Coturnix japonica: one gene and its partners. The main gene of each other region encodes a partner of the protein of the gene in region 6 in a complex. Links are inferred from orthologs where the notes say so. Each region holds a gene or a part of one and is shown on either strand. Other genes may lie near its edges. The genes, in order: TSSC4, SNRPD3, SNRPF, LSM5, LSM6, PRPF8 and PRPF4.

What was found.
Region 1: the proteins of PRPF8 (region 6) and TSSC4 are in contact, whole or in part, in a cryo-EM structure (PDB 7PX3), measured with the Homo sapiens proteins. The link is inferred for Coturnix japonica from reciprocal best matches to the Homo sapiens genes PRPF8 and TSSC4. Residues at the interface, in NP_006436.3 of Homo sapiens: Thr2087, Asn2088, His2089, Ile2090, Tyr2091, Val2092, Ser2093, Ser2094, Asp2095, Lys2108, Leu2111, Lys2112, Glu2184, Thr2219, Pro2220, Thr2224, Leu2225, Leu2262, Leu2263; in NP_001284587.1 of Homo sapiens: Pro153, Asp154, Tyr155, Glu160, Arg161, Trp162, Thr163, Lys164, Tyr165, Ser166, Leu167.
Region 2: PRPF8 (region 6) and SNRPD3 share a complex: the UniProt entries of both Homo sapiens proteins name them as parts of the U4/U6-U5 tri-snRNP complex. The link is inferred for Coturnix japonica from reciprocal best matches to the Homo sapiens genes PRPF8 and SNRPD3.
Region 3: PRPF8 (region 6) and SNRPF share a complex: the UniProt entries of both Homo sapiens proteins name them as parts of the U4/U6-U5 tri-snRNP complex. The link is inferred for Coturnix japonica from reciprocal best matches to the Homo sapiens genes PRPF8 and SNRPF.
Region 4: PRPF8 (region 6) and LSM5 share a complex: the UniProt entries of both Homo sapiens proteins name them as parts of the U4/U6-U5 tri-snRNP complex. The link is inferred for Coturnix japonica from reciprocal best matches to the Homo sapiens genes PRPF8 and LSM5.
Region 5: PRPF8 (region 6) and LSM6 share a complex: the UniProt entries of both Homo sapiens proteins name them as parts of the U4/U6-U5 tri-snRNP complex. The link is inferred for Coturnix japonica from reciprocal best matches to the Homo sapiens genes PRPF8 and LSM6.
Region 7: PRPF8 (region 6) and PRPF4 share a complex: the UniProt entries of both Homo sapiens proteins name them as parts of the U4/U6-U5 tri-snRNP complex. The link is inferred for Coturnix japonica from reciprocal best matches to the Homo sapiens genes PRPF8 and PRPF4.

Annotation. Positions count from the first base shown.
Region 1 is NC_029520.1:10,938,695-10,942,992, reverse strand, and holds the start of TSSC4 (protein TSSC4), read right to left. Parts: upstream 2,801-4,298; 5' UTR 2,134-2,800; intron 2,122-2,133; exon of another isoform or gene 2,032-2,121; coding exon of another isoform or gene 2,014-2,031; intron 1,933-2,013; coding exon of another isoform or gene 1,808-1,932; intron 1,788-1,807; exon of another isoform or gene 1,769-1,787; intron 1,246-1,768; exon of another isoform or gene 1,166-1,245; intron 984-1,165; coding exon of another isoform or gene 911-983; intron 1-910. UniProt on the Homo sapiens protein: Protein associated with the U5 snRNP, during its maturation and its post-splicing recycling and which is required for spliceosomal tri-snRNP complex assembly in the nucleus.
Region 2 is NC_029530.1:7,447,982-7,452,089, forward strand, and holds the start of SNRPD3 (small nuclear ribonucleoprotein Sm D3), read right to left. Parts: upstream 2,801-4,108; 5' UTR 2,684-2,800; intron 2,406-2,683; 5' UTR 2,382-2,405; coding exon 2,256-2,381; intron 1,571-2,255; coding exon 1,381-1,570; intron 478-1,380; coding exon 416-477; 3' UTR 1-415. Other genes in the region: protein GUCD1, read left to right, coding at 2,806-3,016. UniProt on the Homo sapiens protein: Plays a role in pre-mRNA splicing as a core component of the spliceosomal U1, U2, U4 and U5 small nuclear ribonucleoproteins (snRNPs), the building blocks of the spliceosome.
Region 3 is NC_029516.1:41,570,194-41,573,029, reverse strand, and holds SNRPF (small nuclear ribonucleoprotein F), read right to left. Parts: upstream 1,634-2,836; 5' UTR 1,480-1,633; coding exon 1,477-1,479; intron 1,393-1,476; coding exon 1,267-1,392; intron 1,166-1,266; coding exon 1,101-1,165; intron 627-1,100; coding exon 560-626; 3' UTR 501-559; downstream 1-500. UniProt on the Homo sapiens protein: Plays a role in pre-mRNA splicing as a core component of the spliceosomal U1, U2, U4 and U5 small nuclear ribonucleoproteins (snRNPs), the building blocks of the spliceosome.
Region 4 is NC_029517.1:78,884,433-78,888,507, reverse strand, and holds the start of LSM5 (U6 snRNA-associated Sm-like protein LSm5), read right to left. Parts: upstream 2,801-4,075; 5' UTR 2,711-2,800; coding exon 2,665-2,710; intron 2,378-2,664; coding exon 2,282-2,377; intron 1,846-2,281; coding exon 1,818-1,845; intron 1,456-1,817; coding exon 1,383-1,455; intron 1-1,382. Other genes in the region: late secretory pathway protein AVL9 homolog, read left to right, coding at 3,514-3,606. UniProt on the Homo sapiens protein: Plays a role in pre-mRNA splicing as component of the U4/U6-U5 tri-snRNP complex that is involved in spliceosome assembly, and as component of the precatalytic spliceosome (spliceosome B complex).
Region 5 is NC_029519.1:27,572,512-27,576,634, reverse strand, and holds the start of LSM6 (U6 snRNA-associated Sm-like protein LSm6), read right to left. Parts: upstream 2,801-4,123; 5' UTR 2,612-2,800; coding exon 2,440-2,611; intron 205-2,439; coding exon 91-204; intron 1-90. UniProt on the Homo sapiens protein: Plays a role in pre-mRNA splicing as component of the U4/U6-U5 tri-snRNP complex that is involved in spliceosome assembly, and as component of the precatalytic spliceosome (spliceosome B complex).
Region 6 is NC_029534.1:4,156,542-4,160,805, forward strand, and holds the start of PRPF8 (pre-mRNA-processing-splicing factor 8), read right to left. Parts: upstream 2,801-4,264; 5' UTR 2,682-2,800; intron 2,093-2,681; 5' UTR 2,083-2,092; coding exon 1,983-2,082; intron 1,904-1,982; coding exon 1,735-1,903; intron 1,154-1,734; coding exon 989-1,153; intron 888-988; coding exon 669-887; intron 89-668; coding exon 1-88. UniProt on the Homo sapiens protein: Plays a role in pre-mRNA splicing as core component of precatalytic, catalytic and postcatalytic spliceosomal complexes, both of the predominant U2-type spliceosome and the minor U12-type spliceosome.
Region 7 is NC_029532.1:810,397-813,438, forward strand, and holds the end of PRPF4 (U4/U6 small nuclear ribonucleoprotein Prp4), read right to left. Parts: intron 2,860-3,042; coding exon 2,736-2,859; intron 2,120-2,735; coding exon 2,030-2,119; intron 1,533-2,029; coding exon 1,410-1,532; intron 1,272-1,409; coding exon 1,164-1,271; intron 1,087-1,163; coding exon 968-1,086; intron 790-967; coding exon 596-789; 3' UTR 501-595; downstream 1-500. UniProt on the Homo sapiens protein: Plays a role in pre-mRNA splicing as component of the U4/U6-U5 tri-snRNP complex that is involved in spliceosome assembly, and as component of the precatalytic spliceosome (spliceosome B complex).

The DNA of each region.
Region 1 (4,298 bases), on a different chromosome or scaffold from region 6:
TCAACTGCGCAATGAAAATCACACGTATGACCATCACTCTGGGACAGGCCTGATAATGATTACTGCTATATCACAGTACATTGCTGTGGAACAGATGCACATTAATATTAAAGACTTCCACAAAATTCAGTACAAGAATGCAAAGTAATTATAAATAGTGATGCACTGAATTTCACTGAAGGTAACAGCAAGACCAATTGCTAAATGATGAGCATAAGTTTTTTGAATATAACTGTTCCACATATCTTCTTCCAAGAACAGCAGTGACTCTCCAAAGTACACCGTTCATTTACCCATACCATATAAATCCATAAAAACAAATCCTAATCTCTTTTGTCTGTTGCAATTCTTCATTGCCAATTCACATCCGTCCCCAATCATATTCTACGTATTAAAAAGGGCCCTGCTGCTGATCAAGGAATGTGTCAGAACAGCCTGTAATGTCTCAGAGCTACAGTTCTGTGTCAGCTTTAAACTGACAAAGTACAAGGTGCACTCCTTCCTTGGCTTTAAGCTTTTACGTTATTACTAGATAGTTGCAATCACATGATAAGTGAGCGTGAGAAATGAATTGAGACAGATTATGAAAAATAATTGCATATGCCATGCTTGTGTGAGCACACTGGAAACAAGGGGAGGGTGCAAGCAATGGTCAGCAAGAGCTGCCCATTTGGTCAATCAAAAGACACAGTGACCTGAACCCTGAGTTCCAGTACAGTACAGGCTGAAACACCACTGCTTGTTGGGCAGTCAAAAATAGACTTGGCAAAAATACACTTCAGTTCAGCTCTCCAAAACGTGAATTAGGGAAAGTGTTCTCATTTACTATTAGGTTAAGTTAAACTACACAATTATAGGTTCTTCTGAAAAGCCGCAGTAAACAGACATGGAAAGTGTGCTGGTCACTCACTTTCTCCTGAGACTGAGTCAGCTTCCCCTCCTGAGGGTCAGTTAAAGCCACCAAAGATCTCAGCACTTCCACCCTAGAAAACAAACATTTCCATCAAGATACTGGAAATGTAGTTTTAAAAAGAGTTTTGAAAATAATTCTTTCTCCCTGAGTCACCCAAAGCTACAGAGCAGAGTTCTAAATCTGACACAAGCTCAAGCTTGCATAAAAAAGTCTTCAGATAATCCTGAATACTAGCAAAAGAACAGCACAAACCTAATAGGACAGGCTCCACCACAGTTACTCAGTCTCCACATTCACAAAGCCAAGTCTTATTCTCTACAACAGAAGAGAGGCTTTAAAAAAAAACAAAACAAAGCTGTAATTTACACATGCAGTAAACTATTAGTAAATGTACTGTGTTAACTGCAGCCAAGAAGGTACCAGATATGCACTGCAGGTACTACATGCCAATAGGAAAGAGACCCAGGACACCACAGAGATGCCTGCAAAGAAAGGTTGTATTCACCACTGGGGACAGATCTGCATGAGGAATTAGTATGTGGAGAAGCTTGCAAAGAACTGAATGGCCTGAATGCTGTGTTCTGTGTAGTCTGGCTGTGTTTTGACACCGTTGCTTTTGAAACGTGGCCTCTAGTGCAACCCCCAAATGCAAAATAATCATTTGAAGATCCTGCACCTTTCTCTTTAGTTTTATAACACATGAAAGAAACGAGTGCAACTCAAAAGAAACACCAAAAAGCAGGGCTGAGCAAAACAGATGTTTCAGGCTATGAATGAGGGCACCTCTTTGCTAAGAGCATTTGTACAGAAAGGGAAAACGTTGCTACTGGAAGAATAATTTAACAGTGTTAATACCAAACACGCAGATGCTGACAACACACCAGACAAACTCACACGTTCATTACAGCAACGTGGGCACTGCACAGCACACACAGGCCCGTGTCTCTCTGGCTGCCACGTTCTCCATCAGCCTCTCCCATCCTGGCCTTGCTCTGCTGGCTCTGCTCACCCTCCTGCAGCTGGGAGGCAAACACAGAGCTCCGTCACCCCAAATCTCGACCCCATTCTCATCGCACAGACAGCACTACGACACAACCCACCGCCGCACCCTGCACCATGGGCCCATATACCGCATTCCTTGCCAACCTAGGACCCAGCTCCCCGGACCGGGATCCCCCCCCCTCCCCGCTCACACCCAGCACCGAATAAACGCCCCATACCCCAAAGCCGCGCAAGCCCGGAGGAAGGTGGAGGTGGGGAAGTGCAGGAAGCAGAAGTACAACCCTGCTTCCCGTTAGCGTCACCTCGCTTTGCATCCTGAGAGTTGTAGTTGTCTGCGCTTTCCCCGTTGGGGGCCATTTTGAGAGCGACGCGGCCGGACTACAGCTCCCAGGAGCTCGCCCTCCATTTTGCAGACTGTGAAGCTGTCGGGGGTGGCCCCTCCTCATCCAAACCGCGTGGAAAAAACAAGTCAGGCGTTGGTTTTTTCCTCATCTCTTGGGCTTGGCAGCAGCGAGCGGTTCAGAGGAAGCGTGGAGTTTTTATTTGCATGTACTTTATAACCAGAAAGCCTTCAGTCACTGGGGTGTGAGACAAGTGTCCGGCCAAAAGCAAGTTTCCATCCTCTGTCCCAAAAGAACATTTTTTTGTTCATGTGTCAAGATGTGGAATTCTGTCGGAACATGTTTTATTGGTGTTGGCTGAGGCCATCTGGTTCTTTTCCCCCTTCTTCAGCTAAAAGCTTTAAGTTCTAAAGCAGAGGCTCTAGAGGTGTTTCCCCATTTGGTAAGCCTTTCCTTAAACATATATACATGTACAGCGGAGACACAGGCAGATGGATTCCTGTCTGGAGGGAAGAGAGAGGAAAGCAGGGTCCTTTGGCGTGTGAGCAGAAACAGGAGTCACAGGCAAAGACAGGCAATGGGCAGGGGAGACACAGACAGTGGCTGAGGGCTGAGCCTGCTGCATAATGCTGTCTGGGCATACCAGCAGCAGGCAGGGAAAGGATGTGCATTAAGCGTGGTCATGCCCTATTTTTGTAAGGGTGGAGGCAAGCAGCATAAGCCATGGATCTGGGGTTGGGCTTTTCTTTGTCAGGATGCAGCTGATGGCTAAGGTTACTACATCAGCTGTCTGTATCCTTTTACTCCTTTCCTGTCGCTGTGCAGAAGGTGAGTCTCACACACTGCAGAGAACTGGGGATGAGCTGTTCTTTGCTGACTGCAGACAAGGCAATTCACGATGGTGAATGTGCTGTTGTGTTGGGATTTTTGCTATTGCTTGGTGACAGCTGAAATAAAAATAATGAGTCAGATCCTAAAGAAGAACAGATGGTAAAGCCTAGCCCTAGCCAGCGTGAACTAAGATGGCTTGAAGAGGGGTGCGGGACTCGACATGGCTCTGTGTGCCATCACAGGACATCTTCCAAACAAGTACACTATGCCTGGGGCAGGCTTAGCTCTTGTGCAGAGATTGCCCTGTGCCTCTGCAGGGAGCAGTGCGTCTCCGTTCAGCCCTGCTGCTGGGAGCCTTGTGTTCCTTTCTTGCACATAAATCTGCTGTTGGCCCCTATCCGGTGACTGTTTCCGCTGCTCAATTGGCAGGCTCCAGCCCCAGCCTATGCACTGAAGGCTTCTGCACTTGGAGCCTGGGAGAGGCTGCCTGTCCTTCTCTTCATGGCTGTAGGAAACTGGCAGGCAATTCCCCGGCAGCCACTGTGATACTGAAGGCCAAGCACAGCGATCCAATGTATTTTCTCCATCTCATGCGCCCAGAACAACTGTGGACATGAGTCTGGTATGGCCATGCTCAGCTTGATGCCAGAGTTCATGAGGGGAAGTAGGGAAGGAAAGGAGCATTTTCCTGTAGGTAAAAATCTCAAGCACAGCGTTGCACAGCACATCCTCCTCTGCTGGAAGACTGCAGTTGCACCGAGCCAGAATGAGTAAAGGCTGGGGGAAATAATCACCTGACCTCTCCCATTTACAAGAAGGAAAGCCTATAAATATCCTTGAAACCCAGTGGGATGTTTCCAGGATTTGGTGCTTAACACTGCCTTTCTCCTACATCAGTTTTTGCTTACCTGTTTTACTTTATGCTTTCTTTTGGCTCTGGCTCACATGCAAGCAGGTTTGACTTATTCCAGTGCTGTGTACTCACATTGGAGTTTTCATCCTGCTAAGTGAGCAATGAAAAAATCAACTCATGTGGAGGGAATATATTTAATGAAGACAGGTATCAACCTGACTCTTCCCAATGACAAAGTTACTGCCAACCTGTAGGGAGAACCTGCAGTTGTTTTCTGTTAGGGACACTGCATGTGTAAGACAGGATTTGCCTGGCCTCGCACCACCACATTTTGGGTGCTCTGTTTGAACATGAGCGG
Region 2 (4,108 bases), on a different chromosome or scaffold from region 6:
CTCAGTTTGACTGTTTGCTCTGTAAATGCAGGTGATAACACAACCTTAAAACAACATTAAAAATTCTTCATGAAGAATAACTTCTAACTCTTTAGAGGGTAAATTACAGCAGTATTGAACAAAAAGGAAGCAAGATGATCTTTGAAACTCAATGCATCACACAAAAGTACAAAGAAATCAAATCCATGTCCACTGTTTTCTAGACAACGCACTTTGAAATCCACCTCCAACGTATTTGCCAGCTACAGAAAGAAGCCAGAACTCTATTGTGCCTAAGAGGAGCTCTGTCATATAACAGCAGACAGGGTTTTGTCAGAAACATTTATTAAACAGAAGTTACCAACATATATGTAGACAAGTTAAGAGCCCCTTTAATAATAATAATAAAAAAAAAGCATTTTGGTCAAGACCAAAATTATCTTCGCTTCTGGAAGATGTTGCCACGACCCATACCACGGCCTCTTCCTCTTGCAGCCACTGAAGAAAGAAAACATCAGGGATGACATGAATTTGATGCAACACATTTATCTCAACAAGTGACAAACCAAACATCAATAACTCTCAGTCTCTTCCTTAGAAGCACAGAAGTTAAGCTACAGTATGAGGCCTGGGAAGTGATAAAAGTAAATAGAAGTTTTCTGTGAAAACAACTGTAACTAACAACTACACAGCTTTGCTATTCATAACAGAGTATGCATTAAGAGCAATGAAATAGTAACACACCATTGTTCCTACTTTAAATTGTGTGAATCTGTAGCCAGAGAGATTTAAGACCTCCTGCTCTTCATACAGCGTGACAGAACTCGCTATATTTTGTCAGATGTTACTCCCCCACACATCCTTACTGCATTTGGTAGAGTTAACCAAGGGCTTCAGAGCCCATGATTATTTCTTGATCTTGTTATAACGAGACTGTTCACACAAAAAAGGTATTAAAGAGGATGAACTGCAGAATGGCTAACAGTTACTCATTTAAAAAACTTAAAGTATCAACCAAGTGTACGTATATGTGTGTGTGTGTGTATATATATATGTATGTATAAATATATATATATATATATATAAATATATATATAAATATATATTTTTTAAGCTTAAGAATACTTAGATCATCATACTTTGGGTAATCCAAACAGGCAGCAACCACATTTACAGAAAACCAAAGGTGAAGTTTTACCTAACTCTAGCAAGGCCACTTACTGTTCCTGAACTATCTGCAGTATCAGTATTGTGCATCAGTCTGAGTTTTGACTGCTGTCACTCATTCAGCTTCTTACAGCTCATCTTTGCTTAGTGTTAGGGATGAAAACATCTCAGTTTCTGTACAGCAAAACAGGAAGGTAAAGAGGGAACACCAGACCACAAACACACTGTACCCACCCTGAGCTTTGAGAATAGCTGCTTTTCCTCGGCCAGCTCCAGAGCCCTGGTTCTTATTCTTCATGCTCTTTAGCATAGGAGCGTTCTTCAGCATATCTGGTAAAATGAGAAACCGTATCTTGCTGCCTCTGTACACCTGCTCAAGCTGCGCCACTCGCCCATCCCTGTATGTCACTGTTATGTTGGACATCTGGAAAGTAAAGATCAGACAGTGGTCTCAAACACAGTTTGTTTTAAGTGGCCTTAAACATAGTTTTGTACTCCCACTACTCCTGCTCATGGAATATATATATAGCCAAGATTCAAGTAATAAACTCAAAGCCCTATCAAGCATACAGCCTTCAACTGTTATTGTTATATAAGGCATCTATAACCATTTAAACACAGTCTTAAAGCTTGCTAAAATTTAAGCAAACTCACTATTTTCCCCTCCTCCCCACTTGCTTAATTAGTTTTATTAGTTTTGTTTTCTTATTCAGATAGTTTAAATAAAGTTTTACTGGTCCCAGCTATTAAGGACATTTTTATTTCAACTACAACTTGCATGAAGTTATCAAAATTAAGGCTATTGCAATGCCTTAAAGTCCTCTGCATTAAGCACAGCTCTAAGCTCATAAATTAGAGTTTATTTATTATCAACAGGCAATAAACAAAGAACTGCTGAAGAGAAGGTGCTCACAGAGGAACCAGGAACAGGAAATCCCAATTCTGAGCAATTTGGTGTGCTCAGTAATCTGGAATTCACTTCATTACTGTAAGTGCACAGAGTAAAAGGGCTTTATTTATCCTAAGACTAAAAGTAAAAGGTCTTTAAATCCCGCTGTCAGTCTGCTGAGTGCAACCACTTCCAAACAGATGAGATAAACTTCTTTTACCTGGCAATTCATGTTGTCCTCAGCCTCAATGAGCTTCCCACGATACACCTCCCCAGTGTTGGTCTCGCAGGTCACAATGTGGCCCTCTGCCTCGTGCAGGACTTTAATGGGCACCCCGATGGACATGGCTGCAACACTGCGGCTCTACTCCTGGGACAGAGAGCACAACATAGAAGTGAATAAAGGAAACAAACTCCCAGTCGTTCTGCAGTTCGGCTTTGCCTACAGGAGCCGATTTGCTCCATTGAACAAAGGCCTCAGTGCTTTGGCAATACACGCCTATCCCAAGGCCCGGCCCAAGGCTGAGGGCAGCCCACCCTCTCAGCCCACATCTGCCGCCCTACGAAGCTGCAGGCACATAACAAACCCCCACAACAGACCCACCCCATAACAAACCGACCCTATAACAAACCCCCACCGACACTCACCTCCCACCAACCACCCTAATGGCCGCCGCCTTCCCGCCGTGCACAGAGCCCCGGAATCGGAAGGGCACAGGAGCGGATCCTGCTACTGCTCCTGTCCCTCAGGGTCTCGCTGCCTTATCACGATGGTTCCGCTGCACTTTTGTTCCTCCCGAAGGCAGCTCCCTCCCTCCCAGCTCCGAGCAGCCGCTTCGGGGTCCGCCCCCTCCGCAGCCGGGAGGAGCCGTCGCCGCAGCAGGGCATGGCGCGGCCCTAAGTCCGGCGGGGCGGGTAGTGAGCGGGCGGCCGCCGTCATGAGGAGCCCCCGGGAGCCGGGGGAGCCCCCTCCGCAGGCAGGTCAGTGACAGCTCCGGGGCCTCGGATCGGGGGCGGCCTGTCAAGCACTTGGTGGAGCTGAGAGTGCTCCGCCTTGTTTACAGCCGCGGGTCGGGCCGTGACAGCTCTGTTGGGGGTGGGGATGAGAAGCGGGCAGCGCTGGGCCTGGTTGTTACCTTTGAAGTCATAGTGTATGGAGAACAGGGACATCCACAGTGAGTTGTGGTGTTAGAAGGCCCTGGATGGTAACAGAGAATGGACCTGCTCATAACACAGCTCATAACACACCGCCAATGCTTACATTACTTCCTTCAAGCGGGATTTGAGGGGCTGTTTGTCCTTCTAAAGTATAATCAACATTGCTAACAAACACTGAGTACACCAATGGGTGTGTGCCAGCTTTCAAAGTTATGATTAAACCCAGTGACGTGATTGAGAAAGTGCACCGCGTTGTTGCTGCAATAAGCCGTAACTCAGTGAGAAAACAGTTTAAAACTGCAAGACATTGTCCATAAAGTTTTACATATAAAGCTGTGTTGAAACTGCAGCAGCCCCCAGGATGCTGAATGCTTTTTATCCCCATCTGAAAGCAGAGCTGACTCTGTGTTAGCAAAGGTTTCCAAGGGTCTGTACCAGATCGAAGGTAAAGTCATTAAGAAAAGCCTTTTATGATTAACTCACTTGGATTGTCTTTGAAGTTACAATGCCAAGCGGAAGCACTTCAGTCCATCAAGCAATCTGGGCTTTGCTGAAACTGAAACCACTACTACTGCCTGTAAAGAAATAACAAAGGATGAATTACTGATATTGCAGATTTTCTTGATATAGATTGGGTTTTGTCTCTCTTCTTTGGCCCTTTTACAGATGGTGTCATTTGTGAGCTGTCTTACCTTAAAAAATTACTCACAAAAAGACATGGCAGTAGAAGAGGCTGAAATCCATAGGGCTTGTAAGAAATCACTGCCTAGAGATCCTGGTTGTGTCTGTTTTTTACCCATTTGACCTATGACTTTTTGTTGGCACAGAATACAGAGCTGAGAACAAGCTGAATTGGAATGGTGAAGTACAGAAAAACATTCCCATATAACGACTGACAGCTTTTACATTTTACTC
Region 3 (2,836 bases), on a different chromosome or scaffold from region 6:
CTGAAAGTATACCTGTGTATTTGAGAATAGATGTAAGACAAATGGTCACTGATGAGACAGCGCAAAGTCACACACAAATCCATGAGGTACAGCCATTTGTGTTTTGGCTTGTAGAACCTCTCTCCAGCCTAGAGATGCAAGTAGATCCTTCACAAGGGGAGGCTCTGACTAGCAGCATCAGCAAAGCAATGGTTACCTTTAGGAAATGCTGATAGGTACAGAACAGCTTCGGTTAATGTCAATGGTTGCTCTTAACATTTGAGAAAGCAATTATGTTCCTGCCAAAACTTCAGTTATCTGGATGCCTGATAACAAAGAGTGGCCTGTTGTTAGTGTTTTGTGTGTTCTTTCCATAATACTGCAGATTGAGATCAGGCATTCCCATTCCACAGGCTGTTTTAGCTCTATGAATGCCACTGAAATTCATGACTCTTTATAGCCTCTGGGTGAACTCCCCCCATAGTCAAATACAAGAACAAAATAAACACCTGATGACAACGTTGTGGAAAAGAAAAAAAAAAAAAGAAAAAAAACCCTTTATTTCCAGATATACAAATCATCATTCTCTCATTTCTCCATCTTCTTCCTCTTCTTCCACACCTCTGATGTACAAAACATTATTGCACCTGTAAATAGAATCAAGAGCTCCCTTAGTTGAAATGTCTTAATTTCCCTCGCAAATACAATGTTCACTTCACATGGGAGTTACAGCAGCATTTAGTGCTCCAATACACAGAATCACACAGAATCACAGAATTACCCAGGTTGGAAGGGACCTCAAGGATCATGTAGTTCCAACCCCCCTGTCTGGCAGGGCCACCAAACATACACATTTACTAGATCAGGTTGCCCAGGGCCCCGTCCAACCTGGTCTTGAACACCTCCAAGGACGGGGCATCCACAACCTCACTGGGCAGCCTGTTCCAGGACCTAACCACTCTTCTAGTAAAGAACTTTCCCCTAACATCCAACCTAAATCTTCCCTCTTTCAACTTAAAACACAAGCACATCCCCTAGATCCACCAGCTTCAACAAAGCAGTAACACAAGACACAGAAGTCCCCACAAGACCCCGTTCCCCAGCTCAGGCACCACGATTACCTTATCAAAACTTCTCCCAGGTGTCCAGACAGTGCTCCATCGATGTACTCTTCTGTGTTTGCAAGCTTGGAACGAAAATCAGCACAAACATTACACCAACAGGAGCCTCACTACTGCTTCCCTCCCACAAGCAAGCAAGGCCCGGGTCCCTCCCTCCATCCCTCACCTGCATGTTCATGTAGCCGTCGACGGAGACGAGGTATCCCTTGTACTCCATCCCCCACTTCAGCTTCACCATCACCGGTTTCCCCGTCAGCCCGTTGAGGAAGGGCTTCGGGTTGAGCGGCAGGCTCTAGGGGAGAGCAATGGTCAGCACCGCCCGCCATCCCAACCGCTAACGACAGCCTCCCCCCACCCTGCCCTGCCCTGCCCTCACCATGGCGATGGGGCGCGATGGCGGCCCGAGAAGCGCAGAGCCAGGCGGGATCGCCTCGTGCGCGCCGCGGGCTGAGGCAGAATGGAAGGCAGCGCTGAGATACCTTCCACTTCCACTTCCGTGCCGCCGCGCCGACCTCCAACCTCTCACCCCGCCGCGCCGCCTTCGCGATTGGCTACGGAGCCACGGAGCGCGAAGGGAAAAGGGGTTGTGGGCTCAATCTTATTAGTTGGAATGGCCGCCCTCCTCATTGCTCCAGCCAATGGTCGTATACCACCTCTGGTTGTGTCGTCTGTGGTGGCCGGGGGGTGGCAGCGCAGCACTGTGCCGCCGCTCTGCTCTGTTAGGCCTTTGCCCCTCCATCCCTCTCCTCCCCTTCCCTGTCCACCTCTCCCTCAGCCCCCGGCTGCCTCACACCGTGTCTTCTGCAGATCCAGAATGTCCCCCCTCACATCCCTACCTTTATGGATGGATAGGATAAGAGCAGCAATTACGATTCTTCTTAATAAATGTTTATCTGAAGTGCACTCGTATTTGTTTCTGTGATAATTTATAATGGATGTGTTTGTCCTCATGTGTTGGCTGGGGAACAGAGATAACGTTAAAATAAAGCTTTTTTTTTTCTTTCTGACAGTAAAACTCACTGGGCGCCAGTTGAAAGAGAATTGCTTATAAGTTTATTGCAAGGAAGTTAGTGCTGAGGATATGTAGGAAATAATAAACAATGTGGGAAATCGTGTATATGGACGGTTTTCATGCCCCTTGCAGCAAAGAATAGAGAACTTGGAGTGAAAACATACAAGGCGTCAGAATGCAATGAGCTCAGCATGAGTCCTTTGGGTTAAAGGCCATGGAAGACTTGCACTTTTCTGACAGTTGTTAATGGTGTATATGTGAATGACAATAGAACAATATGAGTGTTTTGTCTGTAAACAGCACTTTTTAGGTTTGGAACCAACTTTTATCATGTCTCCTACTTGTGTTGGGAAAGCTGTGTACCAAGAAGTACAGGACCAGCTACATTCTTTTCTTCATATAGTCAGTTCCTCTGATGCATGACTTGGAGAAGGACTTGGGGGTCCTGGTGGATGAGAAGCTGGATGTGAACCAGCAGTGTGTGCTTGCAGCCTGGAAGGCCAATGGTGTGCTGGGCTGCATTAAAAAGGGGTGGCCATCAGGGAGAGGGAGGTGATCGTCCCCCTCTGCTCAGCTCTTGTGATGCCCCATCTGCAGTACTGTGCCCAGACCTGGAGCCGTCATCACAAGAAAGCTGTGGAACTCTTGGAATGGGTCCATAAGAGGGTCACTAAGATGATCATAGGGGTGGAGCACCTCTCCTATGAAGAAAGGTTGGGGGAAT
Region 4 (4,075 bases), on a different chromosome or scaffold from region 6:
ACGCATATTTAGCAAAACCCAGCCATGCTTCTGACTGGAGATCCTGCGCCTTTTTTAAGGGCACATGTTACAACTGTGCCATAAAATTACTGAATCTGACTCAAAAGCACCCTGGGTCTTTCTCTTTTGGAAGTGTGCTGTTCATTATTAAGAAAATATAAATGATTTTTATCTTTTTTCCCCTTTACCTTTGTTTACCTTTTTAATATTTCCTTTTATATTTACTCTTAAGTCTTTTATTCACAGGAAAATACTTTGCTGGCTTGTTTCCTACTGTCTATAGAAAGGTTTGGTCTTACATGTATACATATAGCGGCTTTGCTTATCACTAAAAGTCAGGAAGAGCAAAAAAGCTTCTCAGCATAACAATGGTCTGGAGAAGAATCAGTTGAAGAAATGCTTCTTGAAATGCTCTTAAAAACAAACTGTAGAATTTCAAGATTCACCTTGGAATGAGTAACAAGGACAAAAAAATGTATGTTCTTTAGGAACTCCTTTGTTAAAATAATATAAATAATAATAATATAAAATAATTATTTTACCCACACAAGAAGTCAGAACATGCACAATGCATTAAAGATGCAGAACAATAACCGAAGCAAGAAAAGGTTTTGAAATTAAGTCAAAATAGCTTTTACTCAGAAGGGTGAGATAGCAATATGGGGATTATTCCCCATTCACACAGAACAGATAGACTCAAGTCAGCCTTCCACTTGTCTTGTTAACAAAATCATGAACTGCCTTATGCAGGAAGTCCAGATTTTGCACCCATCTGTGCAGGAAAGCAAATGATGTACTGTGAGTCTGCTTTTGTGGTAAAGTATCTACAAAGATGCAGAATTCACTTAGTGATGCTCAACTAACTACAGTATTGTTTCAGTACTGATCTATACACATCAGCGAGTAACAACCAGAAAGTGCTTCTGATTTGTTATAGTCCAACAAAACTCCACCTTATTATTTTTTTCCAGAGCATCCGGCATCACATGATAATGATTAATAATAGTCAAGTAACTTAACAAGCTTATAAGTATCTGAGCTGCTGCAAACACACCTATACATAATGGATGAACTGCAGATGTATCCCAACCCACAGACTTACACAGACACTCATGAGTCAAAAGCCACTTTGTCAACCAAACTCGTCCAAAGATTCCCTCACACACCTTATGAAAACCAAAAAAGCATATACCAAAACTATAGTCATGCCCATGCTCCTCTTTTCATGCATTTTAAACCATAAAATATATGAAATATAGCAATAAGATCACTTTCCCAGCATCATTCATAAACCATATGCCTTAGAAACTACTCAAGTAGTTGAATTCAATCAGATTTACAGGTAAAGAAACACAAGCAGACTATTTACAGTGATGACTTACCATTGTTATATTATTTCCATTTAGCAAAATCTGGTCTAGTTTTGTGATTCTTCTGCCTTCAGGTGTGATCTCACTGAAGCAATATTAGAAAAAAAAATATGAGCATGCAATCATCAACAATGAATAAAGTTCTGATTACAGCACCAATGCAAGTCCACATATTAAGATGACATTTACTGGAAATAACACTGCAACATCATCTTGATGCACTGACCCACTAGGCAGGGAAAGCTACCTGGCAACTAAACAGATTTGCTGTATTTTTTTGTTCAGCATATAAAGACACAGATTTGCCCTCTAAAACTTGGCATTTTTTTCAATAACAATTCAAAACTGCTCAGTTTATAAGTATCTGTGATAGCACAGACCTTATACCGCATTCTTTCTCAGGAAACCCAAGTCTGAATAGCAATGAGAGACAAAAATAATACTTACAATTCTGTAACATCTTCTAACACCATATCTGAAAGCTCAGTTTCAAGGAAAATAAGGCCCAGATTTCTTTTCATAGAACTTGAAGGGACTGTAAAGCCCACCCAGTTCCAAATACAGAGCAACCCCTGCTGCTGGTAGGCTGCACCCACTAGATCAGATTGCCATGGGGCCCATTCAGCCTGGCCTTGTACACCTCCAGCAACAGAAGCATTTGATCATCTTCACAGCCCACCTCTGCAGCTGCTCCAACAGCTCTGCATCCTTCCTGTGCTGGGGGCCTCACAAGGGCAGTATAGAGATGGGCAATTTATTTTACACCAAACTGTGATTTTAGCGATAAAAAAACAAACAAAAACCACTAACGAGCAAAAAACCGATACCAAACAGCTTAATGTTCTTAACAATAAACGAAATGATTTTCCCCATGAAGCTAATGGCCACAGATAACACCCACCAAAGGATACTGACAAAGTCATCAAATCCTAGCAGAGTTCCAACAATTTCCTTATCGCTCTTCATCACGATATGAATGCGAGAACCTATACATTTGTCCACAAGCTCTGTAGATGTTAAAAACAACAAAAGTGCATTAGTGTATTTGCAGGAAATCAATCAGCCCAGAGGTACCCTCCATCATCTCCGACCGACTGGAAACAACAGCAACGCTACACCCGGAGCACGTATTCCCTCAACACGAAGAGGGGTGAATTAATTTTGTTACATCCCGATTTAGTTTCTCGCTCATAGATCCCGATTTAGCCCCTGTTGCAGCCTCTCCCACCCCGGTCACAGCCTCCCTCCCTCCCCGCCCGAGCCCACGCGAGAACCCGCCGGCAGCGCTGCCCACCGAGCGGCAGGAGCTGCGAGGGGTTGGTGCTCGCGTTGGCCGCCATATTGCCGCCAGAGCTGGCCAATGGCTGCCGCCTCCTGAGGAAGTAGAGGCTGTGGCGGGCGGGACGCAGCCCTGAGTAGCGGCAGGCAGAGCGCTCGTTCTACCGCCGTGTTCTCCTTTGGGCTCCGACCGCAATGGGAATTCAGTTCCGCTCCTGTTTATACACACTGCCATGTCAGGTGGCAGCCTGTCTGACTGCCCTTCTGCTGCCATCGGTCACAAGGCAACAAAGTATAATGGAATATAACGGCAGGAAGGTGTAGCCCCTACTGCCATACCAACATCCACCTCTGATGTCATGGGCCAGCATAATAAAACAGGAGGCGTTAGTTTGAGAGCAGCTCTGGTATATATGGCTGAGTTTTTATTGGTATCTATTAGATATACACTGAGAAAGAAAATTCCAGCAGGATTCTTTTATTTCTAAGAGCTTCTGCTTGATTGCAGCTCTACCCTTCCTTCTTATCATTCGCTTGCTAGTTCTGGATTGTTCCTTATAGCCTATCTTTTGCCCCCTAATGTATCTAATTTTAATAAAACCAAGCACTTTCCTATATCAGTTTCATCGCACGCTCCCGCTCGGCGCCCACCGCACAGAGCACAGAGTGGAGGGCGGGGCGGGCCGGGACACAGCGCGGCTGGGGGCAGGGCGAAGGGGAAGAGGGCGGCCCCGCTCCGCCTCCCCTCGCCGGGCTCTGCGGAAGCGCAGTCGGTTGGGGTCCGTCCCTTCGGCCTTCGGCACCAGGAGGCGGAGCGACAGCCCGGCCTGGGCGGTATCCTCCGGAGCGGCCATCGCCGGGCTCCATGGAGAAGCGGGGCGCGCCGCCGGCCGCCCCTCCGCGGGGCCCGGTGTTGCATATCGTGGTAGTGGGCTTCCACCATAAGAAGGGCTGTCAGGTGAGGGGTGTGAGCGCTGGGCCCCGGGAGCGTGCCTCTGGTTCTGGGCTGGGCGCTGCCTGCAGCGGGCTGGGGGCCGGTTACGAGCCCCTTGCTGCGATCCCCCGCCGGTGCGGGCTGTGGGGGGCCCGGGGTCGGGCTGGAGCGGTTCCGCGGGGCTGTCTGGAGGGGACGGGGCCACCCAACAGCTGTGCGTTACCGGCGCTCAGTGTGTCTTCAAGGCCCGCTGTGTTTCGTAGGTATTCTGTGCTCTCGTTGCGTTTCCTCCTTTGCTCTCTAACTAAATCTTGGCGAGGCTGTTGCAGGAATGATTTATTTATTTATTTATTTGAGACTGAGTATATAAAATGCCATTTGATCCAATCAAACGACTGGTATTCAAACTCTTTTCTTCAAGTCTTACATCAAGAATTACATCTGGCATTTAAACTCCTGCAGTCATTCCACGTTCTGTGACTGGGCAGTATCT
Region 5 (4,123 bases), on a different chromosome or scaffold from region 6:
TGAACAGAACTCATCCAGGTCTGAGGAAAAGCACAGGCACTGAAAAGAAGCGCTGTAAAAAGTACATACAGCACAAGAAGGAGGAGTTACCATTATTTCCTCGGATAAATGCATCCCCATACTTGTTCTTTAACTGTCCATTTACGTATTCTTCTGTCTGTTCCAGAGCTATATTCATATAGCCATCCAGGCAAGCCAGGACACCTAAAGAGAGTGATAGTTTAAAAGTGAATCAACTTTAGCTTATTTCTGAACTAAACAAAACGGCTTTGCATTTGAACAGTACAAGGAAAAAAATTGTATCTTCATAGCAAACTAAACTTCCAAATGTGGTCAGGTGAGTCAGTCAGCAGCCCAGAGAGCATTAAAGGAACTAAACTGAGAGTAGGGAACTCCAGGTCCTGTACATGACTGGGTGGGGAGAACTCACTGAGACGTGACTTTGAAAGAGAACATCTTCCATTCTGAAAGTTTAGTTGTTGCTTTTTACTTTTGTTTTATGCCCAACTCCTGAGAAGAACCTGTGACATAAAGTGTAACTGGGCAGCCTAAGAACAAGGCTACAAGCTGAGTTTTGACCAAAGCTCATCAAGGATATATGTGAGAAATAACCCTTCTAATACAGGACACCACGCACATTTTTCTGATTTATTTTCCAGAAACTGGAGCACAGGAAGTTCTGCACGGATGTGCACAAGAATTTGTTTACGGTGAGGGTGACAGAGCACTGGAACAGGCTGCCCACGGAGCTTGTGGAGTCTCCTTCTCTGGAGATATTCAAGACCCGCCTGGACGCCTACCTGTGTGACGTGGTGTAGGGAGCCTGCTTTGGCAGGGGGTTGGACTCGATGATCTCTACAGGTCCCTTCCAACCCCTACAATTCTGTGATTCTGTGATTTTCATTCTTATAGACAGAATAACATGGGCTGCCAGCGTGATTTCTGTGTAAATCAATTCTACATCTTCAACGGGGAAAGGGTTTTCATATGACACTGAAATCTTCAGCCAAATTTAAGTGATGTACAAACAGAACATTTACATAGTGAACTAAATGTGGGGATTAACGGATGTGAAGAACTGCTCAGAAAATGCAATACGTACACAATGCAATTTGCTAATTGCATACATAAAACAACTTCTAACAAGCTGCTCATCTCCATCTTGTTTGTGTGTGTTTCCTGACTTCCTCCTTGCACACAGACACCACTATTAAAAATACAACTACCAAAATGGACAAGAATCTAATTTACCTGCTATTAAAACTGAAGACATGCAGTACATTGGCTGTATTTGAGGAGGGGGAGAACTCCAGTCTGAGAATCTTCCTCCAGGGTATGTTCTCATTTTCCAGAAGCGTTACTGTAATATCCTCCATTAAATAATTAGGAATTCAAGTTTTCTTGCCAACTTGTAATGGCTTGAGGATTGGTATTTTCCTGTATGTGTTTTTCATCCCTGTTTCCACATAAATGGGGAAATTCTGTCTGGCCACAAAGTGTTTTAAATACACCAAAACCTTCCAAGCCAAGTCAGTGACAACATTTTCACACCAGTAATCCTGAGTGCTTCAAGATGCCACAGAAAACAAATGTTTGCCCCAAGCTGAAGTTGGGCTGTGGGGTTTTTTTTTAAGCTATCACTCAACTGGCCAGGGTGCATCTTCATTTCTTTCATTGTTGTCTTTCTTTTCTTTGTATTTACTCCCAGAATACTAATAGCATCACATACTGTTGCTGCCCACCCTGGCTCATATTTTGCCTGTTTTTTATCAGTATGCAGCAATGTTTTTACATTCATATCCATCTGTACAACTGATTACACGTGCACTTTGCCAGGACTTCTTAGATGAGTACAGCGCTTGGCAGTGAACCAAGACATTTTACAGCTGCACACCAACGTGAGAACCAGGCAGCTGCTGTGCTCACAGTGGCTGGGAGGGTGGAGGTGCAAACATAAAATGAGAAGGGTAGCCTACAGGCAGAATCTGAAGAGATCTGCAACAAAAGCCTGAGATGCTGGGTTTCCTGATGTTTGGTTTATACAAGTGATCGAATTTCTGTAGAGAAATGAAGTGTGCATTTCTCAAATGTAAGCACCAGGAGGGAGTTAGGGAGAATGGAGGGAAACAAAGAAAGGAAAATAACTCCTGTATGACATTGGGCTGGTGTCCAAACACCAAGATTCCTTGTCAAAGGACAAACGAGCACTAAGATGAGCCAACTGAATTAAACCTACCTGAAGTAGCGATGTCTGGCATGATCATAACGTTTAAATCATCCCAGAATAAAACACCTGTCTCCTCATGGGAGAGGCATGATAAGAGCATCCAAACTTAACGAAGACTGAGATAAAGAAATAATTGTAGAGGCTGAGCTATTGGAGAGGCTCAGCCTAAAGGGAGCAGGACATCTCACTGCACAGACAAGGTGGAATCTTACCTCGATAATCGACTCCAGAATTTAACTTTACAACAACAGGCCTTCCAATGATCTGCTTTAGGAAGTCACTGGGAGTTTGCTTCCGTAGGCTCATCTTGATTTGTGTCGGTACGCTGGGAATAGATGTGAAAGCCGATATATGGATAAGCAGCACATCCCACCCTGCAGGCATTGAAGGCCAGGCTGGATGGGGATGCGAACAACCCGGTTTAGAGGGAGGCGTCCCTGCCTACAGCAGGGGGCTGGAAGTGGATGGGCTTAAAGGTCCCTCCGCACCGCTCCCCGCACCGAGGCACAGCCCGGCCCGCACCCCGCCGCCCGGTGCCCCATTGCGGCCGGGCCGAGACACAACGCCGCTCACACTCACCCGCTGCTACGCGCGCCCGGCCCCGCGTTCGCGGCCAATCAGCGGCGGGCGGTACGGCGCGGCGGCAGGGACACGGCGGGACGGGCGCGCTCGCTAAAGCGGGGCGGGTTGTGGCTGCACTGAGTAGCGCCGCCTCTATCGCTGCAGGGAGGAGCTGGATGGGATCACCTGCTGCCAAAGGACGGGGAGCAGCTTTCTGCTTCTGCACCCAGCTGTGGCCTGACCTCTGCAAAACCTCATCTGTGTCCGTTTTAAACTTATCTTTATAGTTTCTGTCTATTTTTATCGTTTCTGTCTATGGATACTTGGTTCATTGATGCCAGTCAACAAAATCCTTCTAATTTCCTTTTTAGTCCTAAATTTACAAACATATGTATTCCGAAAGACTGAAATAGAGATGGACAACGTTGTATCCTTAGCTCGCCACTTCTATGGCTTGAGGCTGAGCCATGAACCCACACCTTAGCAAATTTGTCCTGGTTTTCTGTATAAGCCTTGAAACAGTCTTCCATGCTGTACTGAGTAAATGAACCTCTGTGCAATAGGACACATTGCTGAGCATGTTGGTGTAGTGGGTTTTGCATTGGGAAAGAAAATTTCTCTCTTGCTTATTCACAAAGATTATATAATGTAATCACAACTGTAAATACACAACCTAAAGAATGTGTTGTTTCCTGAGTCACACAATCCCAGTGCTCAGGTAGGTGGTTTTCAAAGGAATTATGTAATCCATTCTGTAGACTCCTCGCAGATTTCAAAGCTTCGAGTGTGAAAAAATGAGACCCACTGTTTAATGGTTCTTCTTTTTGCTTCAGTCATCTAGATGAAAAAGGATTTGGGTCTAAAACTTTGCATGCGTTGCTATCAGTACATTCTTTAAAATATGGCATTGCTTTATCGTTCCACAAAGCAGAGAGCATTTTTCCAGCTGTATAAAACTCATTGAAATCAGTGACATTCTGCCCGTGTGTTTTAATCAAGATGAACTTGAAAGGTGAACATTGTAAGTGGTAGAAATTATTTATAATTTGGTAATAAAAGTTTATGTCTAACACTTCCAAACTTCATACATCTGCTATGTGCCAGCCTTGAGATATAGAACAATTGTGATTGCCTTTACATTTGGCCTCAGATGAAAGGTCATAAATTACAATGGGAGTTTTCAGTCCTTCGCAGCTCACAAAGTTTCCATTATAGCTTCTTCACCTCAAACATAAATGGTGACAAAGTTCTAACATGAAGAGTTGCTGTGGCCTTTACCAGCTGAACTTAATGATGGAAGCTGGGGGCTCGTCTACTATTGCTAAGTCTTGAATG
Region 6 (4,264 bases):
AGTGAGCAGCTGATTAGCCAGTCGATACAGCGTGGACATCATAGGCAGAGTGAACTGCCAGCGCTGGTAGGTAGAACCATTCACATACCTGCAGAGAAACAAAGCATAGGACACTAATTTTGCAGCCACAAAACAACTGGTCTTCTACCTTTCTGCTATTTGCAGAAAATACGAAGGATAGATAACTCTTGTCCCTCTCCAGGCAGAAAAATAAAATGTACAGGCTTGTTGAAGATCTCCATGGACTACATCTGCCAGTTCCCCTCCATCTCCATTATCAAACTGACAAGATTCAAGAGCCTCCAGTTTGTAAACGCACTGTATATTTAATAAACTCAAATAAAAGCTAGATGATCCAGGTTTTCACTCTTATCATGTGTCAAGAAACATCAGTTTTACCAGTTACCCATGCAGTAACCTGCCTGGACAGAGAGGGATTGATTGCCTTCCCTCAGCACTGAAGACAGAGGGATGACTACAGCAGTCAGATTCTCCCTCCTATCCTTGAAAGAAGGTTTTCTCATCCCACCAACACCATGCATAGACCAATATTATATAAGCAAAAGTTATGCACTTTTACATACATTTAATTTATGTAGTGCATGAAGATTTTAGTGCTTATTTTCTTAAAGCCCCACAGTGAATTGTGTTACCAGGCAGGCACATACTTCCTGTTGTCTTTCAGTGGCTGGTGGTCGTAGAACCAGTCCAGTACTGGGGCATCTTCCTCCGGATCCAGCTCAAGCTGAATTGCTTCCAAAGGCTCCACATCGAGAATGTTATCAGCATAATCCAGAGGAGGTTCTTCATCATCAAATGGGGGAAATCTCATTCTCTTGAAGTGACGTCTGTCCCTCTTCTCTCGCCTCATCATAATCCACATGGACCTGGCAGAAACCAGAGACCATTACATTACATGCTGCCTTTATTGTGGATGTGTGGTTATTCACTCATTGTGTCCCCCCAGAGTTAAGTAAAAAGCACTTACCCCCATTGTGCAATGTACACTGGTTCTATAACCCAGGGAATCTCATTGACAAAAGAGATGGCTCCTGTGATGTGATACAGGACTGGAACATCTCTGATTTGCTCCCAGGGCATAGGCATGTTCTCCAAGAGCTTCAGAACAGCGTGAGGCATGTACTTCAAAGCACTACAACCAGAAATCAGGGAAAATTACAGCTGGAAGGCATCGCCAGAGAACAATTACCTGTCTGCAGCAAGTTCAGTTACCTGTATACCTCCCACTCATAAAACTGCTCAGCTAACCTGCACATAAAGGCCTTCTGTGATGAACCCACAAGCCTTCTTAACTATCCTTCTGCTTCAGATTCCACTACCAAAAGGCTTTTCCTACTGGTTGGCTTCAGAGAGATTGCTATGCATTAAAAACATTCAGTAATAATAATACTAAAAAACACCGAATGAGTTTTTATGGGTAACTACATGAACGCAACAGACCCTGCTTTACACAAGACAGTTCTCTGAGCACAAACAACACAGAGACACCCACACGACACTTTAATCACAGGGAAAAAAGGCTGATTAGGTCACAATCTCCCCCCAAAACCTCTTCTAAATGATATTTTGCCTTAAGAACTCCAAGCAAACACTTCATCATCTCATCCTCTCCTGCACCCCACTGCCACCCTTGTGCTGTGATGCTGCTGTCTGAGCTCAGCTGTCCCCAGAGCCCCATTCTGAAGGCACCGCTCCTCATGGGGAGCTCCGTACCCCAGATAGACCCGTTTATCGTGGCGGAACTTCCTGTTGGTCATATCGCCGTGATCGCGGATGATCTTCCTGACGTGCTCGGGGGGCATGTCCTCCTTCTGAGCGTCCACGAAGCCGAATTTCCTCTTCTCGGCATAGCGCTTGGCCTGCAGCTGCTGCCACTTGCGGGCTGCGGGGACACAGAAGTAACGGGATGAGGTGAGGCCGGTCCCGTTGGGCGCGGTGCGATGGATCCAGGCCGTACTCACCTTTCTCCTGCAGCTTCTCCTCAGACATGTAGTCAGGTAGCGGGGCCATCGGGGTCGGTACCGGCGCGCAGCCGCCGCGGTACGGGAAGACGGCGGCCATGACGACACACCTGTGGAGGAGGAATCACAGAATGACCCGGGTTGGAAGGGACCTCAAGGATCATGTAGTTCCAACCCCCTGCCTGGCAGGGCCACCAAACATACACCTTTACTAGATCAGGTTGCCCATGGCCCCGTCCAACCTGGCCTTGAACACCTCCAAGGACGGGGCATCCACAACCTCCCTGTGCAGCCTGTTCCAGGGCCTCACCACTCTCCTAGTGAAGAACTTCCCCCTGACATCCAACCTAAATCTTCCCTCTTTTAACTTCAAACCATTTCCCCGTGTCCTGCTACTGTCAGCCCTTTCCAAGAGTTTACTCCCCTCCTGGTTACAGGTTCCCTTCAGGTATTGAAAGGCTGCAATGAGGTCACCCCGCAACCTTCTCTTCTCCAGGCTGAACAAACCCAACTCCCTCAGCCTGTCCTCATAGGGGAGGTGCTCCAGCCCCCTGATCATCTTCCTGTCCCTCCTCTGGACCCTGCCCAAAATCTCCATAGAGATTTGAGGAACAAGGGGCTCAAACCGGGATCACGGCTCCCTCCTCCCCCCTCCCGGTCCCTTCCACATCCCCGCGGCCCGGCCCCCCCCGCACACACCGGTCGCTGCGACGTCCCGCACTCCCGCACCACAATGGCGGCGCAGCCCACCACCACCGCGCCTGAGAGACCCGGATGTGGGTGGGGTGCGCGGCTAGAAGGCTCGTCCAATCAGCTTTCGGGGCAGCCTCACAGACAGCGGGGATAGCCAATCAGAGCGCGGGGAGGGCAGGAGGCGGGATCAAGTGCGGAAGAGGAAAGGAAGCTGTGTTTAGAGTACACTACCGGTTGAATGCCTATTCATTTCCGGTCCCGCCCTCTGCCGATTTTGATTGGTGGAGAGGGATAGCGGTGACAGCTCGACGCCGGCTCTGATTGGACAATCAGATACCGTAGCTATGGGGCCTAAGAGGCCTAAGGGGCAGATATGGCTGTCCCAGCTATGGGCCCTAAGGGGCAGATATGGCTGTATGGGGGTTTCCTCAGGCAGCCTCCCCTTTGTACATGGGTATCCCTTGTGAGAGAGAGAGAGAGGCCCCATCTCTGTCCCCACAGGTTCCCATCCCAAAGCTGGGCCCTGTATCCTTCAGTTTGGACACACAAGCCATACCCACAATGTGTTCCTATACAGCAGGCTGTATGGAGCCAGCACTGTGAGACATCCCTTAGGGCTCAGAACAACGTCCCCAGTGTGTGGCAATGGTGTGACAGCAGGAACGTGGTGACAATGGCAGCCTTGAGCAGCAGTGGCTGTGTGGGCACAGAGCTGCTGATAGAGGCACCCCCAGCAGCTCCACAGCCTTCAAAAGCAAATTGGGTGTAAAAAGTCCTTTCCCTTTAAAGCCTTGAGCTGATTTGTTTGCTGTTTATTGAAAGCCTGTGTTAGTAAGAGCTGCTGCTGCTGCTTGAGAGCGTTACACCAAGACTTCTGGTTCCTCATAGATGCCCATATCTAACCCATGTGAAACATCCCATTCACAGGAAGCAACTATCACACACCATCATCCTGACCTGCAGCTCACGTGCTCCCACACTCACTTATAGGGAGTTAATAGATCTGGGAACAAAATAACACTAGAAAAGTTCCAGTTGTCTGAAGTTAGCAGCCTGTCCCCAAGGATGGCACTGAAGCTCCCACTGTCCCTAGTCCAGTGCCAGCAGCATCTGATAAGGACAGGTCCAAACCTTCATCTCTCACCTGGCACAGTCTCCTCTGTGAGGAATTATAGGTGCAGGATTTGGCTTTAACCAGCCCTGGACTGAAGGGCAAAGCCTTGGAGATGCCTGGTGCTGTCCCATGGGAAGTGCCAGAGGTAGAACAGAGTCCCTTAGGCAATAGGACCCTGCAGGGTGCAGCACCTAAGAGGTTAGAAACACACAGTAGTGTTTGCACGTCCAGAAAAGCAAAGGGGAAACAATTCTCCCTGCTCCCTTCTCAGGGCTGCCAGAGCCTTCAGGGCTTCTCTGAGCAGCTCCTGGTTGTTCAACCACATCATCCATAGGTGCTGGAGAGCAGAGCCCCCAGTGTCTGATCCACTAGCACCTCCTCTGCCCAGGATCCACAGCCACAAGTCCAAGCAACACTGAAATAGCCATCCTCACTTCCCACAGCTCTTTCCAGTCCTCCTCCACGAGCTCATAGC
Region 7 (3,042 bases), on a different chromosome or scaffold from region 6:
ATTTGTGAGACAGCTGAAGGAGCCGGGACATGAGATGTGCACTGAAACATCCTCTGCAAGTGGAAACAAAGGAGATACAGGCCTCTATGAGACCAACCTGCAGAGGAACTGTGGTACGCTCTCCTCTCACAGCTAACTCTGCTTTATTTTCAGAAGACAAAGACTGCTGTTAAAGCATCCTGGAAAACAAGGTAAGAAAACAGAGGACGTACAACACAGTACATGAAGTGCTGTGTGAGCCCTGCACTAGTGCGAAACAGACCAGAGCAAACACATGAGCCTGTCTTGGAAGGGAGGTGGAAGAAGGTGGTTCATCTCCAAATTACTGCAGAAAACCACTATCTGCAATACAAAACAAGTCCTAAAAAGTGGAAGAACATCATCCCAGCTTTGACTCCAACCAAGCCCTGGTCAGCACAGATGCTTCAAAACCACCTCAGCCAGGAAACCAAGAGCTACTGAGCACAGCCACTGCGATACATGTTGCAACAGCCAATTCCTTTCCTTTTAAAAAAATTTAATATACAAAAACCCAGCTCTTAGTTCTAAGCCATTATTATCGTCTCTGTCCCAGTTCATCATCAGTGCCTCTGAGCTACTCTGCTGTCCACAACTTGAAGGTTCTGTCATAGGAGCACGTTGCTATCAGCTGGCCATCGAGGGAGATGTCCAGTCCCATCACCTTTCCCTCATGACCAGCCAGTGTTTTCAGAGGGGACCAGCCAGGGTGAGTCCAGATCTTGGCAGTGTTATCATAGGCGCCTGTCAGCAGGAAGTTACCGTGATTGGCTGCAGTTGAGGGAAAAAAAGGGAGAAATTAGTTTTGCAAATAAATACATGACAAATCTTCTACCACTACTCACTACTGATCCTCCGGATCCAAGGATGTGATTTTGAGTTGCCCCATTCCCTGCCACCTCAGTAGAGAAAAAGCAGGAACATGGAACATCAGACAGGAGATACTTACGTTCAAATTTCACCCCAGTCACCAGGTTCTGATGGGCAGGAATGGTGTAGATGCACTTTCTCTGCCGGAGGTCCCAGACCTTGCAAGTATTGTCACCACTGCCAGTTGCAACGTGGTATCTGCCAAGGAAGAATGTGTTGGAAGCTGAGCTTTGTACTCAGAGCTCCCACACAACACATGCAAGCTCCTGTCTTACCCATTTGGGGAGAAGTTAAGTCCATAGATCTCCTTCAGGTGGCCTTCCAGAAACATGATACAGCGCCCGGTGCGCAAATCCCACACGCGGCCAAAAGCATCCAGTCCACTGAGAAGAGAAAACCCAAACAGCATCACCCTCCAGACTTCAGCAGCTGACAGAACACCAGTACTGTGGCTTTTGGAATCAGTGAGCAACAAAATCTTGGTAATGTTTCTCATACAGTCCTGATGCAAACAAACTCACCCCGTCCCAGCAAGAGACCCGTCCGTGTGAAAGGCGATGTCATAGACCCCTTTGCTGTGCCCCTCCTGATGGAGAATCTCTTCCTGGGCTTCCAAGTCCCACAGGCGCCACGAGTGATCGTAACTTTATAACAAAGAAAAAAAAGCATTAAAATCTGATCACATAATCCTATTTGAACTGGGCACACACACACCAGCTGTCAGGACATTCACTCTGCCTGGTCCATTGAGCATTAGGAAATCACAGCCAGAAATGAAGCTATAAATTCAGAAACGCAAAGATCCTCAGCACGCTCCTGGGAGAGCAGGGAGCTTCCCCACTTCCACATCAGTGTAGCATCCTTAAAGTTTAAGTGTTGCTCCCTTAGCACTTGAAATCCCCTGAGCAGCAGCAACCATTTCTGCTTCTGGAACTGGACTTTCAGATCACCTTTGTACTGTTTAGCTCCGGTTCAGTCCCCCTCTCCCTCAGCACCACTGTCCTCCTCAGACCACCTCCTGTCCACTGTGTCCAACTGGGTCTCACGTGAGGTGCAGGGAAAGGAAGGCTTTCATGAATCCCAGTGACTGTAAGTAATAGCATCTTAAACAAGCAAAAAAAACCCATCAGAATCCCCTTACCAGGTAGTGCCCAGGAACCTGCCGGAAGGGTGCCACATCACACGTGCCACTCGCATGTTGTGGCCTTCAATATCTGCCACTGGTTCGTCACTGAAAGACACAAGATCAGACACTGGTCAGGGTGGCTGACTCAAGCCAAACCTTTGCAGCTGTGACCACAGTGAGACAGACTTTAATGCAGGCCAGACAAGAAAGTCAGTGTTCTGACTATTGACTCTAAACACTGCTTTCTGCTCACACAGCTGAAGCTCTAAGTGAAAGCCCTTTATCCACATTCATAACCTCAGCAGTAAGTTCTCCTGGAACAATTAGTTTCAAAAACTGACAAGGCCCTTCATTAATCTGAAAGCGTCAACAGCAAAAACTGTCTTTGCTGTCACTACACAGAACATCCCATACTGCAGCAAACTCTGCTATGCTGAAGAAAGCCAGGGCAGGCAGGATAGAGCAAATATTTATTCTCCCAGAGCTATGTGCAGCAGCCTGCAGTGGAAGAGCAGAACAGTACAGAGAATATCTTTGCAGCAGACTAAAGAAATGTGGTCACGTGAGACTAATAAACAACTGTCTTTCTCTGCTCAAGGAGGCTGGGAATTGCACTGGTGTTACAATAACAGGCTGTGTTTGCCAGGAGGAAAGTAAACGTCCATTATTTCATAAGATAAACCCCAAACAACAACACTGCATCTATACATGCCACTCTGACCTTTCAAGGCTCCAGAGTTTGACAGAACCATCAGCTGCACACGAGGCCAAGTTAACATCCTTCTTGTCGAGGGAGACAGTGGCTTTGGGATGGAAGACTATTGCTCCTACGTTGGTGCTGTGTCCTTAAGAGAAAGGAAAATCAAAATCCAAATTACAATTCCACTGGCACCCATTTAAGAATATCAAACACTGAGATTTGCAGCCTTCTAAACACAGTGAAAATTCACCAGATGTGAGTGAAGAGATTTGTATTTAGTTGTGCCCACGTTCAGAGAACCTCATTGGTACTACGTGGTCTGACCAAG